3 linked regions of the Neurospora crassa OR74A genome follow. The protein of the gene in region 3 interacts with the protein of the main gene of each other region in a biochemical or structural test. Links are inferred from orthologs where the notes say so. Each region holds a gene or a part of one and is shown on either strand. Other genes may lie near its edges.

Region 1 (5,394 bases), about 1.6 Mb from region 3:
CTGGGATTACGAGAGCTTTTTTCAGTATATCACTTCTTCAGCCGCCAACTCGATTGCGCCTCCGCGTTCCCAGGACCTCAGTTACCCGCTCTCAAGCTACTTCATCAGTTCCAGCCACAACACTTATCTGACAGGTAATCAGCTCTCCAGCGACTCGAGCGTCGATGCCTATAGGAACGTTTTGTTGCGCGGGTGCCGCTGCATCGAGGTGGACGTCTGGGATGGCTCGGACTCCGAGTCGGAGGATGACGATGGTGACGCCGAGTCTGTGACTTCGAGCAGTTCCAGCTCCAGCGATGATGCCTATGGCAGTGGTGAGGAGGGAATAGCGAGCAAGTTGAAGAGGAAAGCGAAGAGAAAGCTGCCTAGCTTTCTTGGTGGAAGGAAGAAGTCCAAGGACAAGAAAGTTCCGGAGCCCACCACAACAACGCCGCCGCCGCCGCCGCCTGCAGCAGCAACAACCACTGAGGCCGCCCCAGTAGGACTATCAGCCGAAACGAACCCCTTGGAGAGGTGCAAGAGCGGCGGCTCTGCCTCTTTATTCCAAACTCTCAGTAGGAAGAGCACCAAAGAGCCGCGAGTCCTGCACGGGTACACGCTAACTAAAGACATCACCTTCCGAGACGTGTGCGAGGCTATCAAGGACTACGGTTTTGCCACAACCGACTTGCCTCTGATCGTCAGTCTCGAGGTGCACTGCAGCGCTGAGCAGCAGGAAATGATGGTTGACATTATGAGGCAGATCTGGGGAGACTTGCTTCTTCCTGAGCCGGAGGAGGATGCCAAATATCTTCCCACTCCTGAAGAGCTGCGCGGCAAAATTCTCGTGAAGGTCAAGTACGCTCCACCCAACAATGAAGGGGGCTCGACGGGCTCGACGACCCCCGAGGAGCTGGACAACACCGCCGCCGCGGCTTCTGGAAGACTATCAGAAGAAGCGGGCCAACCGAAGCAGCGGGCGAAGAAACCGTCGAAGGTTATCTGGAGTTTGAGCAAGATGGGCATCTACACGCGCGGTGTGTCGTTCAAAAGTCTGATGCAGCCCGAGGCCAACATGCCGACGCACATCTTTTCGCTGTCGGAGAGTGGCGTGATGGATGTTCACAAGGAGAGTCGTAGCGCGCTCTTCGAGCATAACAAGCACTATCTGATGCGGGCGTACCCGTCTGGTATGCGTATCTTGTCATCAAACCTGGATCCGGCTGTGTTTTGGAGAAAGGGGATCCAGATTGTGGCGCTGAATTGGCAGAATTGGGATGAGGGCATGATGCTGAATGAGGGCATGTTTGCTGGGACGGGCGGTTATGTGCTCAAACCTGCTGGTACGTCCACTTAGTCCACTCCTCTTTAGGCAAGACAAAAACGCTAACAAGACCCGACCTAGGCTACCGCTGCGCCAAACTCACCGACTCTAATCCGTCCCCCTCCCCCTCACCCTTGGCCTCCGACACCCAAGCCGACGCCGTCCAGCACTACACCATGGATCTTACCATCAATGTTCTCGCTGCTCAATCGCTCCCCCTTCCCCCCGGAGACGACAACATCGACTCTTTCCGCCCTTACCTGAAAGTCGAACTACACGTGGAAGAGCCTGGAGAGCGGCACGGTACCGACGAGCTGCCGCAGGACGGCAAAGAAAAAGGGGGCGAGTACAAGGCCAAGACCAAATCTATAAAGGGAGGATGCGATCCGGATTGGGAGGGGAAGTTCGGTGCCCAGACAGAACTGAAATTTGAGAATATCCCTGGTGTAGTCCCGGAGCTCTCGTTTGTGAGGTTCTTGGTGCTGGATGATGAGATTGGAAGGGATTCGTTGGCGGCGTGGGCGTGCGTGAGGCTGGATCGGTTGAGGGAAGGGTATCGGTTTGTGCATCTTTTGGATGCGAAGGGGATGGAGAGTGATGGGGCTGTTTTGGTGAAGATAAGCAAGAAGTTGAGGTTGTAACTTTACTTGCTGTGCGGTACAGTGCGGTTTGTTTCGGTGTGGTTTGTGGGAGTGAAGGAAGTGAGGGAGTTAAAAGCATATGAAGCATATATAGCATGGAGCGTTAAGCGTGATCTTAGCCTTGTCATTCATATTTCTTGTGACAGTTGTGTTTAAACTGTCGAAGGTGGTATAAACTACTTTGCATAACACCATCGACACCAACAAACCACTGTTGTTATTGTTGTGTCCCAAAAGGGGCCCCCTTATTCCTGCCATTTCAGGACTTTGCCTGCCGGGAAAAGACCGACTTGCACCAGCCTCACCTTATCACTGCTCGGCAATCACTACTTACTAAAGCCACACCTCCATAATAAACATTTCGAACTGACTGGGATCCTGGCTTGCTGCGGCATTCGTCCGGAGCTTCGTTCGCAGTCAAGTTACCTATCATTCCCACTTTATCGAAGCCGTCACCAAGATCTTAGCTCCGGCAACTTCGCGACTGATTTAATAACCAACCACCACCACCACCACCACACCCAAATCCAAACTTCAAACTCCAAAACTCTATACAAAAAAAATCGCAACCATGTCCGACTCAACCTCCGAGACCGTCAAGAAGGCTATCATCAAGCAGGTTCTCATCGAGTCCCAGAGCGCCAATGCGCGGACTTTGATGGAGGTACGTACCTCTCTCTCTCTCTCTCTCTCTCTGTCTTTCCGTTTTCTCTCTTTTGCTCTCTCTCTCTCTCTCTCTCTCTCTCAAAACCGCCAACCAACTAACCGGGCCTTCAATGTAAAAAAAAAAACAGAAAATCGGCGAAAACTGCTTCACCTCGTGCGTCCCCAAGCCCGGCTCCTCCCTCTCCAACAGCGAGAAGACGTGCGTGACCCAGTGCACCGAAAAGTACATGGCGGCGTGGAACGTGGTCAACACGACTTATCTGCGGAGGATACAGCAGGAGATGGGCAACCAGTAGAGAGGGAGGAGTAAGTAGTAGTACCTAGGACGAAGGCACATCGATGAGTTGCTTCTTTGGGGGTCTTGGGGGGGAAGACGAAAAAAAAAAGCATTATGGAGGGAGGGATGGGGCAGGGAGGGGAAAAAAAAAAGAAAAAAAAGTATATGCGACTTCGACTTAGTGCGACTGCGACTGCGACTGCGACTGCGACTGCGACTCCGACTGCTGCCGCGACTGTCGACTGGCATGCGATGAATGATTCGGATGCCGATTCCGTATCGTACACGAACAGATCGGGTTCAAACACGACCTTATTGTTTGAAGGACATTATAGAAGATATCAAGGGTTCTTGATGGCGGCAGTGGTGTCAAGACCTTCGCATTGGGCATTAGCACAGGGTCCGGTCACGGCTGAGGGTTGGAAATGTTAAGATGCAGGAGGCTGGAGAAGCGCAAAGCAAGGAAAGAACGCAAGGAGGGAAAAATCAGCGAGCGGCGGCTGTTTGGTTAGGGAGATGGAGGTGACATCGTTTTCCGTACCATATGTGTACGTGTGTATCAACATCAGCGCAATCACGGGCAAGGGAATGGTATGGGTAGACAGGGAAAGGAACGGGGCCCAGTGCTTTTTATAGACGTTGGAAAAGTGGCATTCTTTATTTTTCCTTGTCCTGGCATATGCTTTTACTGGGAACTGATGTGATCAGTTTGACCAGGTTCCCAAAAAGAAAAGGGTATCTCATGTCAACAACAACCACTGAAAATGAACAACTTGAAAGATAACAAAACCGAGCTGTTAAAAACAGAACTACGGCGCACCACCCTCCTCCAGCCCCTTCTTCTTCGCCTCTTCGGCCGCCCTCTTTCTCGCCAGGTACCGCTCCTTCGCGCTCGAGATATCCGCCTCCGTCTTCCTGCTCTTGGACACCAGCTCAACCTTCTTCCTCTCTTCTTCTTCCTCCTCTCTCGCCCGCTTAAGCCTCTCCTCAAGCTGAGCCTCCAGCATGCGCGTCTGCCTTTCCCGCATTGCCTGCTTGCTGCCACCCTGGAACACGCCCTTAGCTGGTCCGCTTGCCCCAGCAGGCTTTGCGGCCTGTCGAGCCTTCTCTTGTTGGTGTTCCACCTTCTTCTTAGGCGCCACGTTTAGACCACCCTTGAGCAGCTGTCGTTTGTCGACCACCTCACCGTCATCATTGATAATCACATTTCCGCCCATGGCGTTAATCTCTTTTGCCCTTTCTGTCGCCGACTTTTCCGCGTCCGGGTCTTCTTCTCCCTCATTCTTCTGCTGTGCTGCCTCTCCAGGCCCAGCCTTAACCCGCTCCTCAACAGCCTTCATCTTGGCCGCATGCTCCTGCTCCTCCTTCTCCAGCATCTGCTTATAAAAGTCTGTCAAGCCCTTATTCTTGTTCTTTTTGGCCTCTTCCTCCTCCCTCTTCTTTTCTTCTTCCTCTAGTCGTCGGTTTTCTTCCTGCTGGCGCTTGTACGCCTCTGTGACGAATTTTTCTTTGTCGGCAAACGCGTCCCCCTCGGCCTCGCGCTCCCGTTTTAGTCGTTTTTCTTCGGCGATGGCCCGGTCGCGCTCGCGCGTCTCGGCGGCCTTTTGTAAAGCATCAAAGTAGCGCGGCCGCTTACCTTCCTTGCTGTCGGCTTCTTTCTCTTGCTTCTTGGGCGCCTTGAGGGAATCGTAGACGGCGTCGTAGTCGTAGATGGAGGGGTCGGCGGTGGCGGCAGCCTGAGCGTATTTACGCGATTCGAGGGCGGAGGAGAGGTCGCCAAATTGAGCGGCGGCGGCGACGGGAGGAGGTGCTTTCTTGTTTGATGATGATGATGATGATGTTGTTGTTGTTGCCGATATAGGCGGTGGTGGTTGTGGTAGTCCCTTTGATTTCTTTTTTGATTTGCGGTCCTCGTCTACTGCCTCTAGGGGTGTGCTCGTGTTGTCGTCGAAACCGTCCAATTCGGCAATTTCAACGGCGGCGATGGGCTTGGGCTGGCCATCACCGGCTGTCGTGTCTTCGTCATCGTCATCGCCGCCGAAGGTCGTGGGCTTCCTCTTGGCCGGCGCTGGTTTCGAGGAGGCGGCAGCCTTTTTCAGTCCAAAAGAGAAGCCCACCATGATGATTTTCTTTGGTGGATTGATTGGCCAATTTGAAATACAATTAGTGAAATAATTCAGAAAGAGAAGGTTGGTTGTCCTTGGGATAATTGGAGTGGCGGCAACTACACTACACTGCAGTGCAGTCGGGTGCACTTACACTAAAGTGAAGAATAAGTGGGTCACGTCACCAGCCACGGATCGCTTATCGTTTATCGATCATTCGCATGGTGTTCCTTTTCCCGGCCGGCAAAGCGCCTTGGGCTAGTGTTCGATAGGAACTGAAAATATGGCATTCTTACCTTTCCTGACAAAATGTCGAAAATTACGCTAATTCAAGGTCTGTGCTCATGCCCGTGCACGGTATCCACCAGAAGGTAGCTTCGTCGACGAAGGCTACTGTGTGTT
Region 2 (6,264 bases), on a different chromosome or scaffold from region 3:
TGGGGAGAGGGACGGTTTTCGCATTTGTCTGTCGACCGATTTTCATTATGTCGGGGTAAAAGGGGACCGAGATGGTCTTGCGTTCGAAGGTGCCATTGAGCGACAGCAGCGACAGCACGGGCAGGCGTTGGGGAGCCATTTGGTCGGCGCCGGGCCTCGCGAGATTGCTTTGTGACATCATCTGGTTCGGCGCCGACATGGCGGACTGCGGTTGTTGTTGCGGCTGAGGCTGCGATGATGGCTGCTGTTGCTGATGGTGCATAGTTGGAGGCGCGCCGTTGACGCCATTCGCCATGGGCGGGCGGCCTGTTGCTGAGCGTGAAAGGTCGGACGCTCCTTCTGGCCTGGCATTAGTCCATGAGTTGGTGTTGTTGTTTTTTGGTTGCGGTTTCTTGCGCAGAGCTTGTGAGTTCGACCAAGGCGCGGTGTCTCCACCGACCGACATGGGGTTGCCGTTTCCGTTGACGCCGCCGCTGCTGGTGGTGCTGTTGGGGCTGCCGTTGGTCGGCGCAGTCGAGACGGAGCCGGTCGAGGTCACGGTGGAGGTGGACGAGGAGGACGCCGTCGACGCAACCGACGACGAGGAGTTTGATCGTTGAAGAGATTTTCGCGACATGAACATGTTCATTCTATTGTCGTCGGGGTTCATCGGGTTTAGCGATTGGTCGCCATTAATCCATCCCGGCCGATTGAGATTTGCGAAGCTAGGGGGATTCGCGACAGCCGTCATTGAGACCTGGCGTGGACGGGGCTCTGGGGGAATGGAGCGAAGTGGATACGGGCGGTGGTGTCGCTGGTCGCTAGTGTCGTCGCTTGCCGTCTATGCTAGGACCTTGAGATTGTTCCCTTTGCAAGTTGCAACAAACTGTCCTTTTTTTTTTTTTTTTGCTGGAAGCTGGAAACGGGGAGCGGGAGCGGGAGCAGGCGCGCGGGCTCCAACTGGCTGTCACTCGAGGTCTCCGTGCAGCCTCTAGCCCATGCGACTACTTGTTCTTCTCTTCCTGACCTTGTTATGTACCTGCGCCACTATTGATGGAGTTTGGACGGGTTGTTGGCAACTATAGGGGCTGAAAGCAAAAGGGTCAGTTAGAGGCGAGTAATGTTACCCAGCACGCGGCGGTAATCTGGCCGTGACGTCGAGCACTTGGCGCAGGGATTCCGGGGTTCCAAGGTGGATTGGACAAGTGGACAATGGCCGCCGACGACTGTCGAGTTAGGAGTGCGCACTTGCTCTTTGGTAACTTCGCGCCCTTGCTGGCGGAGGGGCAGGCACCGAGTCGAGAGGCGATCCCGTCGTGATGTTGGTGCTTATATAGTAAAGAAGGAGCAAGCGAGAAGCAAGCATACCTAGTAATAGCAAGTTGTGACGGCGATTTCGAGGGCAGATGGGGAAAATGGCAAATGGCAAAGCACGCTTTCGAGACGCGACGGCAACAGTATGGCACTCGACGATGGTTGAACCAGAATATCCACGAGGCGACTCACGTTTCCAGAGTCCTGACGTTGCCTTGGAGAGGAACCAACCGTACCTGAAGCGCTTAGTGGGCAGGGGACTGAAGGCCGGCCGGAGCCACGGAGTGGTCCATGCGTGCAGCTGGCTCAGCTAAACTTTCCCACCAAATCCCAAACAGGACTACCCCGTTCCTCGCGATTGGGCCTTTGACTAGCAGCACTGCCGCTGCCCGGCCAGTGGTCGCTGGCTTCTGCAGTGGTACCTAGGTACCTACAGCCGTGTACTGGTAGTCCCCGCCCCTGTTTCTACAATGAAGCACCTCTTCGCTTGGTACCTGTAGGTCTGCTTGAACTTGCTTGAGGTGACCCATTGGCTCTTGGATGCCGACCAGTTGAAGATGCAGCGGTAAACACGATCAAGGTGTCCTGCGTATATGATACAGTGATTGTATCGGAATGAAATTGGTGTGCGATATGTGCAGGCCAACCACCAGGGGCAAGATGATGGTCTGTACGTGGGTGCAGGCGCAATCTTCAGGAGCTTGAATCCCGTCTTTCACGGAGATGAAAAAGAACCAACTGAACAAGGGAGAGGCATGATTTCAACTTGCGCTGGCTGTCAGTCTGTCACCAACTCCAGCAGGAACTCCCTATCACGTGAGCAATGCCTGTAAATGGTAATTGGAAAGGACATAAATGGAGTTGACGATGGCACGTCGCCCGCTAGGCGACTACAGTTCTAGGTGGTCTGACGGGCAACGCCGAGGTTGGTGGCCCAAGCGTCTAGACGTTCCAAAGACATGAAAGAGGTTCCATAGGTGATCCCCGCCTATCCCGGTTCTGTTAGAGCTTCATCTGCCAAGTGGTGAAGCTTGCAAGTACAGTACGACAGCAAGGACTCACAAAGGTGGATTAAAGATATCAGAAACGCTCATTATTGCATCCCTATAGTTGGGATAGACCGTCTATAGTTATTGATCTCTTCTTTAGGTTTTGAGAAGACTCACGCTTCGTGAAACAGAGACAAGCTTTCACATGCAGTGGCCTTATCACGATGGAATGTTCCCTGTAGCACTTGATAGTTCCTCCCGGCGGGCAAGGCTGATGCGGTGGAGTCCTCGTTCACACGCTGAAATCGTCCGTGCGTCACTTTTTGCAATTGCCCGCGGCAACCACTCTATCGCGGAATTCCTCCCACTTCTTTGAGATCGCAAGCGAAGCAGCATCAGCTGGCAGTTCCTCTGGCCGCAATTAGCTTTGCAGTGTCGTCAATCCCATACCGCCAATTACCAAGATGCCTCCTCCTCCCCAGCACGGTGGTGCCGTTGGGCCCTCCAACTTTGACAAGTGTATGGGCTGACTCCACGGCAACAACTCGAGAGGGGTTTGCGATAACCAAAAACAACATGGAGCGTGCTAACATGATGCCATCCTCGCAGTCAAGATGGGTGCCATGATGGGCGGCAGTATGTTTCCCCTGCCCGTGATATGATGAAGACTCCGGTCGCTAACCTCTTGCGATTACAGCTGTCGGCTGCATCATTGGTTTCATTTTCGGTAGGCCCATCGCCCAAAGACTCAATTGACCTACGGGCATGTCCTGACGTGCGCCACTCTCCAGGGACCGTCAACATTTTCAGATATGGTGCCGGCCCTAACGGCATCATGAGGACATTGGGCCAGTACATGCTCGGTTCGGGCGCGACCTTTGGGTAGGAAACCCCTTCGACACAGAACTTTGTACTGGACTCTACCGCTGACACAGCCGTCCTTCCAGCTTTTTCATGTCCATCGGAAGCGTCATTCGTTCCGACTCCTCGCCCATTGTCGCCGAGGCCTATTATCGTGCCCAGAGGAGGCCCATGATTATGGCCGCCCAGGCCTTCCGCCCCGCCTACTACCCGACTCGTCGCTCCGACTAAGCGTCCACGCAGGAGGCACGATTTGCTGTACTTTATGTGTAAATAATAGGGCCGCACTCGGGAGCGACTATGGATACGGCGTCTTGGGCGTTTGTTCAGAATTCACAGAAATTCTAATCATGCGTGGATCAGTTTGGGCCCCTTTTGTCTGATATAACTTTTGACGAGCGACAACTCAGGAAGGGTGCTTCCGGGCTTCTGTGCTTGTATTCAACAGATGTTTGCTGACTTTCATGACAACAGGCCAGCTTTACGAATGGGCATGCTGTGCAAGCCGACCGGCATGATGAGGCTCTTCGGCTGTGCTACAACATTGGGCCTGAGTTAGCATGTTAATTTTGTTGGAATGGAAATTCAGCAACACGTATACTATGCGAAACGAGATCAGCGCCCAAAGTTTCACATCCTGGTTAAAGGCGGCCAAGTGATCGATACATACAAGCCACCCTAATACCGTCTAAGACAATTTCATGCGGCTCAAAAAATGCATCGCACTTGCAATCTTAAAGCAATATCCATTCACTCCCTTGAGAATATCTCGTCCAGTGAACCAACAGATACCCAACCATCGTCACTTCCGCCAAGAGGAGACAAACTGGGCGAAAATATTGGAGAGAAATCATCTTTACCACTGTACGGAATCGAGTCAACAGCAGTAGCTCGAAACTTGCAACAAGTGCCAGTCAAAGGAGGCTGAGATCCGCGGCAAGAGGAATACATCAGCTTCTAGACATGCCACAGTCTTACTTAGGAGGATCGGTTTCTGGCTGTTGCTGCATCTGCATACATCCAGCTGCGGTCCGGACTCGTTGACCTAGCAACATTGCGACTCTCTGTTCGAATACAGCGATCAATCGACTAAAGCTAGTTACAGGTCATTGGTTCATTCTTTTTGGATGACGGGCTCGACCGAACAGTTCCCATTGTTCCGGCAGCATTTGTTGCCATGCTTTGGGATTTTCCAAGGTCGTCCGTCAGCAGCCTTCTCATTTTTTGGCGCTTGTTCTGTTTTGCCAGTTCCTTGCTTCCTGCACCGGCGATCATAATTGTGATTGAGCCTCTGACATTTCCCTTGCATTGAAGAGTCCGGCAACGCCGGGTTAAAGCTCTACCGTTTGCTTGTACCGCCACATACACGCAACCAAACGCAACTGGCAGACCTTTGACCCTACAGGGTCCGCACGATTGTGCCTGTCCTGGCATACGAGTTGCGCGAGACCATACGGTATACATATATGTATGCACTTTCGACTCACAGATTAACATCAAGTCCGTGCGAGCCTGTGCGGTACGCTGCTTGGGCGTCAGTATCTAGTATTCTCTCCTTACTTTCAAGAAGGCTGACTGCATGATCGACTACCAGGGACTTTACGAGATGATAGCTCAGTGCCATGGCCAGCAATGGCTGTACCCCTTCTCGTTATTCCTAGCGCTCTTCCGGCGATAACGGAGTGCTCGTCATCTTGCGGTCCAGGAAAATGGGAGCCGTGGAGCTGTACCCATAATATCGTCGACAATTCAACACCTGGAGATCGCTAGATGGAGATCCTCTTGCTGTCCACCTCGTACTTCAACGGTGAACCTCCATTTGGTGTTTTCGTTTACCCAAGTGTCTCTCTATGGCCACTCCTAGCGGTGGGCAGGCCGGATATGTTGTGAGTTTTGTCCGACAAATCCGATGCCGCAAACAACCTGGTCTCTGTGCGCACTAATCTGAAAAATATATATGCTGGTCCAGCTGAGCTGAACAGCTCCCTAACACCATGTGACATGGCTCAAGGACAGCGCTGATCTTGATTACTCTGAAGTTGTGGACATTGAGTTTGTTTCCACGCCGGATCTCGGATGGTACCTGACGATTCCGTTGGCAGACTATCATCATCATCAATCTCAGGGATAATGTGTACTTTGCTGCATCGACTAGGTGCAACAGATACGGAGGATGTCGATCGGGGTAGTGGGTCGATCCCAAACAGCATCTGTGATCTATCCACCCTGCCGTTCCTTTTTCCCTCTCGCTGTGCTGGTCACATTACGGGGCGTTTCTCGGGGATAGCTAGGACTGGGTCGGCCTGTGTTGATTATTGTGTCACGGATGGCGCCAAAGCGGTAGGTCCTTGCGGTCTTAGTCTCCCAAAGGGATTTGTATAAGAAGTAACGATGTAGTTCTTCGTAGCTGAGGATGTTCGGCCGTCCTTGGACACTCATACCCATAGTCTTCCTTCCAACAACTCGGTTGCACTTATAAGGGTCGACAAAGTATATCTTCTGTTTCATCCCTTTACTCTTCATCATGGGTGTAGTAGGACGCGCCATAGTAGAGGTCAGCTCTAAACTTACAGGTGTTGTTGCGAACTTGGTTCAAGAGGAAACAAATGGGTATGTTTCCATTTCTTTCTTCCTTAGGAGGAAGAAGACCACTAACGTCATCTTGTTCAAGTTCATCCCGACTGGGAACGTTTCTCTTTTCATTTCTAGCATTCTTCTTGGGCAATTTAACACCGGATGGACAATATCCATGGGGAAACCTCACCGACTGGGGAAACAACCAATACACCGATGGTCCTGCAACAGGAGTAGTGAGAACGTACGACTTTGTCATCAGCCGAGGAGTCATTGCACCGGATGGATACCAACGGGACGTCTTACTAGTGAACGGCGCATTTCCAGGCCCCCTGATTGAGGCGAACTGGGGTGACATGATTGTCGTTAATGTCTTCAACAACATTTCTTCTCCGGAGGAGGGTACGGCTATGCACTGGCACGGTTTCCTCCAGGACGATACCCCATGGGATGACGGCGCACCCGGTGTCTCCCAATGTCCCATTGTTCCTGGCAAAAGTTACACGTACGAGTTCAATGCAAGTCTCTACGGCACATCCTGGTACCA
Region 3 (6,125 bases):
CGGCGTGGGTTTGAAAAGGTGCTCGCTGACCGCCTCCACTTCTTGCCTTGGGGTCGTCGTAGAATCTTCACCACCAGCACGGCTGCCAATGCGTTCCCTCTAACATCGATTTTTCAGAGTGTCTTGTGGCAAGCTTCCGCTTCAGCGCGTGATCCTCTGCTGCTGAATCCGCCCGTCGTCGGGTAATTTTCAGAGGTGAAATCCGTGGAAGTGAGTGGTAAGTAAATGGAAAGTGATCCGCTGTTGCCTGGGGAGCGCAGAAACTGAGCGCGAGTGAAGGGATCACGGCAAGATATCCACATGGGAAACCTGCAGCCCCGCGTTGAAGCCAAGCAAGTTTGGATCTGTCGTTGAGTCCTCGTGATCGTTGTCCTGCCAACAAACGCTCCTTCCTTCAAACAAGTCTTCGAGTCTGCTCGATGTCCTCGGATCCAAGAGAGAGTACTAACCCTCAGAGATACCTGACCTGCTGCTGCTCTCGATTTCTTGGGTGGAAATTCTGCAACAAGGAAAGCAAACAAACTTACCACATCGCGGAGCTCCCAGGCCCTCGTGCTCTCGTTAAAAACATAGTGATAGTTGTCTCCGTACCGGTTGACCGGTTCGCGCTCAAAGTCGACGTCGGCAAACGGCCAGCAAGGAATGCAACAGCACATGTTGACTGCTTCTTCTCTAATTGCTCTGATTGCTTTCGATTCGGGATATTTTTGCCGTTGCCGTGGCAGTAATGGTTGTTCTTCCCAATGTGCGGCGAGCGCGGTACAAAACAGGAGTCGAGTTGGTTTGAAGTTTTGTTGTCTGTCAACTGCGGAAGCGCAGTTGAACGGAAACTCCGTCTTTCATCTGCCTTGGTCTTGATAAGATACTTGGCAGAAGCCGGCCCGGGCAGGTATGAGGCTCCCGCAACCGAAAAGGGGAGGCACAGCCCAAAACACTCTAAACCCACATGACGACCCGACTATGACCATTGTTCTTGGTGTATGAAATTTCTGAAAGTATGCCTTGGGAGTATTTAGACATGATCTATGATACCCGCCTACTCACAGTAGGAACATTACATCTCGTGCACCTGATCATCTTGCTTGTTGATATGTCACTTACGACTTCATTGTCTGCTTGGTTTTTGTTGTGGTTCGTGGATGCGCTGCCCCGGTTCATCCTAAACTAACAAAGGTGGATGATTACGTTGTCTTCTTTCTATGCTAAAGTGTTCTGTTGGTATACTATCGAGTTTTTGTATATTCTTCAAGTGGCTTTCTATGGTGGTTTAGGAAGAAGGTGGGGATACATTACACGTTACATATGATCATGTCGAGCTCGCCTTTCTCCTTTTGCAACAGCATCCCACACCAGGAACCAAATGATGTTAGCTCGATCTTGTTATAACCAAAGATATGGATGGGAAACTTGCTTTATTAGTCTTCGATCTTAGAGAAAGCAATAACGGGATTCGTAGAGGGACTTAGCATAAAGAGGCAAGCAAGGTTATTATCGTTACTGCCACTTGTAGCTCACTAGTCTGTCGGTTATCGAAGAATTGATTTTCCTCCCTGTCTTGATCTCTCTGCTTCCATGTATTGAAACTGGTGCTTGCCTGTTGTTCTCAAGCCAAAGATTTGCATGGGGAATACTCGAGGAACAATGTGCGTACGGTTTCCAGTTCTGTGGCAAATAGGGAATTCGTCGGAGATGGGCCTTATCCTAAGAGAGTGGATATGTTCATTCGTAGTCCTGCCCCTAAGTCGCTTCGAACTTTGAACTCACACCTGCTTGCAGTCATTTTCGACACCAACGTGTGGCAGGGTGACATGCCCAATATATCCCACACCAAACATTACCTCTCTATTATCTTATCATAAAACCCGGAGCCAACAGTCATGTACAACCCGCAATAGACTCAAAGTTTGAATGAAGCCTGCCGCAATGCCCCATATGCCCAACCAGGGCGATTGCGCTCTATGTCCATATGATCCGCTATAATACATACAATTTTCCACACACGGGGAGGAGAGAGATGAGACTAACCCTTGCGCTATGCACCACTATGCACACACCCTGCCCTTTGGCCCCTCTTCCATGTCCTGCCTTGTTCAAGCCCTGCCCAGCCCAGTGTCGCTTTATTTTCGTTCTTCCCTCTCTTGTTCGTACACATCCACCAGTTCGTGTCTGCTGCCCTTTTGCTCCGTGTTGAACCAAGGACACACACACATCTTCATCGCAGTGGTCTTCCGTGCTGGTGAGAAAGACACTGGTTTTCTTCTGTCAGTTCTCTCGAAGATTAAAATAATAGAGAAGGCTGGCTAGCTATGCACTCTTTTCATGGAGCAACGATAGATGGCCAGAGAGTCGTGGGATGAAGGGAACAGAAGATGACTTTTTTTGTTTCCTATTTCATTCTTCGTCCCCACTTCAGTCAACCTCGTTGGTCTGGGGGGAGGGGAAGAACGTCCTCCTGGCGACCTAGTGACACAGTAAAGTTAGCAAGGTGTATTTCCAGTCTACGCCTGCCATACGAAAAATGGTGACATACCGCCCAAGTACCGGCTATCGTCGCAACAATACCACCCGAGATCATCATGGGCTTCAGACCCCTGGTGCTCTTGAAGAGCATACCACTAAGCGCACCGGCCAGGATTGAGTTGGCGGCATCGTGCTTGCCCCTCACGTAACCAATGCCGGCGTTGATTAGGTTGTAGCAGATGGCGACAACACCAGCCGAGTTGCCGAGGTAGGGACCGCGACGGGTGACAGCGTTAAGGACGGAGTTGAGGCGCAGCTTGGGCGGCTGGCCGGCCGATCTCTGGAGACCCTCTTTCAAACCCCACGCGCCTCCGATAGTGAGGGCCGTCAGGTAGGTGATACCGGTTCCGTAGCAGAGGTCGTCAGTGAAGCCGCGCGAGGGCAGAACTGAGGCGCCGGCGGCATCGGGCAGCGGGGTATCCTCAAGCGAGATGTATTCTAGTGTTTCCTTGTTGAGGCCGGCAAGAGGGTGTAGTTGTGTGGGGTCGGCGAAGGAAGAGCTACCGAGAAAGGCCTCGACACCTTGGGGCTGGCTAGCATCGAAGGGCGAGGGATATGAAGGAGCGGAGGTGGTGGTGGTGGTTGTCTGAGGTGCGCTGGGGGCGGGTGCGGCGGGCTCTTGCTGCTCTTGCTGCTTCTTGTTGCCTCCGGTGAGGGTGTTCCAAAGGCCGGACATTGTGACTGAAGTGGAGGGGTTCGATGGGTTATCGGATCGTTAAGCAGTTGGGGAACACGAAGCAGATAGACCGCGTACTGCTGCGCGCAAGAGTGGTGACGGGTAGCCGGAGGGAAGGGTGGGTGGGTGGTGCCGTCGGCAAACGAGTAAGCTATCGTATCTTCGGGGGAGTGACGGACGGGTCGGTGGGCGAGACGGATGGGATCTCGAATTGGCTCCGGCTCACGCGCAACTTGGACCGACGCCTGTCTTGGCCCCCGATAACGTCGGAACTTCGAAAAAATTTACCTCTATGGCGCCCGCATGGCCCGTGCGAGCGATTGGCGTCATATGTACCTCTACATATGTATATACATGCTCTGGGGCTTTGATTTCGGGGACATGTCAACATGGCGAAGTGGAACTCAACCGAGGCTGTAATGAAGAAGACCTTATTGAAAGGTCAACTGCAGTACATCGTGGGCATCTGAAGCTAGACTACGCCTTGAACAGATATATTCAACGGATTCTCCATGTTCCCATTCCTGCTTTCTCAGGACTTCTTCGCCTTTGGATCTTTTACGGGGACGGTTCGTTCGTGGGGATTCTTTTACTGCTACAGTGCAGGGGTATCTCTTGACATGGCGGCAGGCAACTTCAGACCCAAAACAAGCACGGTGGCCGGAGTGGATTCACCCCCAGAACATGCGCAGTGGATGTAAACACACAGTGGGTGATGCTATAGGCCTTTGAAGATCCCAAAATTTCACAACTCGTCGCTCATACTTTACACGAGTGCCCAGCAGAGAGGTGGATTACTTACTATCACAGTAACTTCAGGCCCTCACTAACTCTCACTGGGGGGCTCATTGACGGTCAGGCACTTACCACTCTTCGCTCCTTCTTTATTGCCTCCCTTTCCCAGTCATCATCACTCTGCAACGAAGTCTCGGATGCACGTCTAAACCCGGTCCCTCAATCATAACTTCCCTTTTGGACTGCGGGGATGGAGTCAACCCAAGTCCAGCAAAATGCCCCCGGCAGCAGCACCATTGACACGGACGCTCTGCTAGCCGGACTGGGCCCCGAAGTGTTTGAAAATGCCAACACCATCACCAAGTGGCTGTTGTCACAACCCACCGAGTCACTCCCAGCGTAGGTTTCTTTTCTTTCGGATATCTTCAGTGTCCAGTTATTCTTTGTGAGAAGTTCTCAATCACACATATACAGACATTCACTAACACCCGTGTTAGCATCGCACAGGCAGTATTTGCCAAGTTGTTCAGCAATGCCTCTGAGTCTCGCCAGTATCACGGCAACGGTCACGATGTCGTAAGGCTCTGCAGCTTTGTTCAGCAATGCGCCAAGGCCAAAGACGAGAAGCTGAAGGAATGGGCCTTCACCGAGCCCGTCTCAACGAAGCTGTTCCATTTCTACCTTGAGTGGTATGAACACGACCCGCATCGTGCCCTGAGACTGATTCTTGATGTCCTTGTGGCCTCGGCGACCATTAATCCCAAACCCGAGACAGGGAAGGCAGTGAAGGAACACATCCTCAAGACCATCGTGGAGATTGTCGCTCGCAAGTCTGCCATGCAACTGACCAAGTCTGGCCTGCAGTGTCTGGACCACTTCTTGAACAAAAAGGTTCTTTCCCTCGACGATGTTGCTCGCAAGTATCGCGAGGTCGACTCTTCTGTCGCCGACCTATCTCATCTCTCCGTGTGGAAGTCCTTTGTTTTTGAGCTGTTCTCGTGGATGGAGCTTCCCTACGTCTGCCCTCATGCCGGCAAATGTCTTGTGCATATTTTTAAGGGTTTAACTGGCCAGGCTGCTGCTGCGGCCCAAAAAAGCGAAAAGTTCACTGTCGAGGTCTGGAAGACGTGGCTACAGGAGGCTGTGGCCCAGAGACCAGCAGTCTTGGAGGATATCAAGAACTACGTCCTAGTTCCTATTTTCAAGACTGACAAGGTCGAATCTCTGAAGCTGCTCGAGGCGTTTAACCGCAGCGAGATACCCGTCGGATCTACACAGGATCTGACCGATCTGACTCTCTTGCTCCAGTTGGCGACACTCGAGACCGGCAAGCGGTTTGGTCTCGTGGAAGAACCCAGCAATGATATTGACGCTTCTCAGTCTTCAAGCAAGGTAATTCTTCGGGACACTGTCCTCGAAAGCTTCCTCACACATCCTTCCCTCTCCGTCAGATCCAGCGCTTTCTCCTTGTTGGTCTCATCCCAGGCCACTACGAAGCCCTTTTCCCGGATAGCGTTTGACCTACTCAGGAAGCACCTCGCCGCCTTCCATGCCGACTTTGACGCCAAATTGCGCAACGAGGTGCTCGGCTATACGAAGAACCTGATTCGGCGTGTTAAAAACGTCATCTCCGTTGCCCAGAGAAGCCTTGCCCAAGCAGCCAGCAAGCAGAACCCGGCGCCTGCGGACAAGGATACGACATCATCAAAGAAGAAGCCCGCTCCTGAGAACTTGTTGAAGAGTCCCACCGAGGCCAGGGAGGTACTTGACCGCCACGAGGCTTTCTTCTCGTGGTACCTTGGGTTTTTGAAGGGTGAGCTTTTGCCCACAACGTCTTACCAACGCCACATCACAGCCATGAGAGCGGCACTTTTGGCGTTGAAGGTTGGAAAACACGCTGGTGCCACGGATGATGTTGTCGATGAGGACGTTTCAAAGTCAATATCTTCAGATTTCACTTGGATCCGCCTTCTTCTGGATCTACTCTTGGACCCTTTTGACGATGTCAGAGACTCCGCCTCTAACCTTCTGGGGTTGTTCTCTCAAGGAATCATCAAGTCCCCCGCACAACCCAGTCTCAATAGCAAGACCCAACTCGAGGTCCTGCAAGACTTTTGCCTAAAAGCCCGGGCTTTGGCAGACAGAACTGGCCGCGCTGATCACGGTGACGGCGCTGCTCGCTCCCAGGGACTTC

What was found. The genes of interacting proteins can lie anywhere in the genome.
Region 1: the proteins of tim23 (region 3) and tim13 interact in a test that uses a peptide from one of them, tested with the Saccharomyces cerevisiae proteins (2 studies listed by BioGRID, with this or other methods). The link is inferred for Neurospora crassa OR74A from reciprocal best matches to the Saccharomyces cerevisiae genes TIM23 and TIM13.
Region 2: the proteins of tim23 (region 3) and NCU00527 form a complex in vitro, tested with the Saccharomyces cerevisiae proteins (2 studies listed by BioGRID). The link is inferred for Neurospora crassa OR74A from reciprocal best matches to the Saccharomyces cerevisiae genes TIM23 and MGR2.

Annotation. Positions count from the first base shown.
Region 1 is NC_026503.1:2,024,869-2,030,262, reverse strand, and holds tim13 (mitochondrial import inner membrane translocase subunit tim-13), read left to right. Parts: upstream 1-2,515; coding exon 2,516-2,608; intron 2,609-2,738; coding exon 2,739-2,906; 3' UTR 2,907-3,546; downstream 3,547-5,394. Other genes in the region: plc-1 (phospholipase C), read left to right, coding at 1-1,322, 1,385-1,944; NCU06243 (hypothetical protein), read right to left, coding at 3,697-5,007.
Region 2 is NC_026501.1:8,114,876-8,121,139, forward strand, and holds NCU00527 (mitochondrial genome maintenance protein Mgr2), read left to right. Parts: upstream 1-2,517; 5' UTR 2,518-2,746; coding exon 2,747-2,801; intron 2,802-2,891; coding exon 2,892-2,918; intron 2,919-2,979; coding exon 2,980-3,009; intron 3,010-3,073; coding exon 3,074-3,164; intron 3,165-3,229; coding exon 3,230-3,374; 3' UTR 3,375-4,416; downstream 4,417-6,264. Other genes in the region: ham-4 (FHA domain-containing protein), read right to left, coding at 1-730; NCU00526 (Lcc1), read left to right, coding at 5,668-5,753, 5,815-6,264. UniProt on the Saccharomyces cerevisiae protein: Required for cell viability in cells lacking mitochondrial DNA.
Region 3 is NC_026503.1:3,606,590-3,612,714, forward strand, and holds tim23 (mitochondrial import inner membrane translocase subunit tim23), read right to left. Parts: upstream 3,443-6,125; 5' UTR 3,197-3,442; coding exon 2,531-3,196; intron 2,461-2,530; coding exon 2,410-2,460; 3' UTR 1,702-2,409; downstream 1-1,701. Other genes in the region: NCU00372 (hypothetical protein), read left to right, coding at 4,182-4,330, 4,429-6,125. UniProt on the Saccharomyces cerevisiae protein: Essential component of the TIM23 complex, a complex that mediates the translocation of transit peptide-containing proteins across the mitochondrial inner membrane.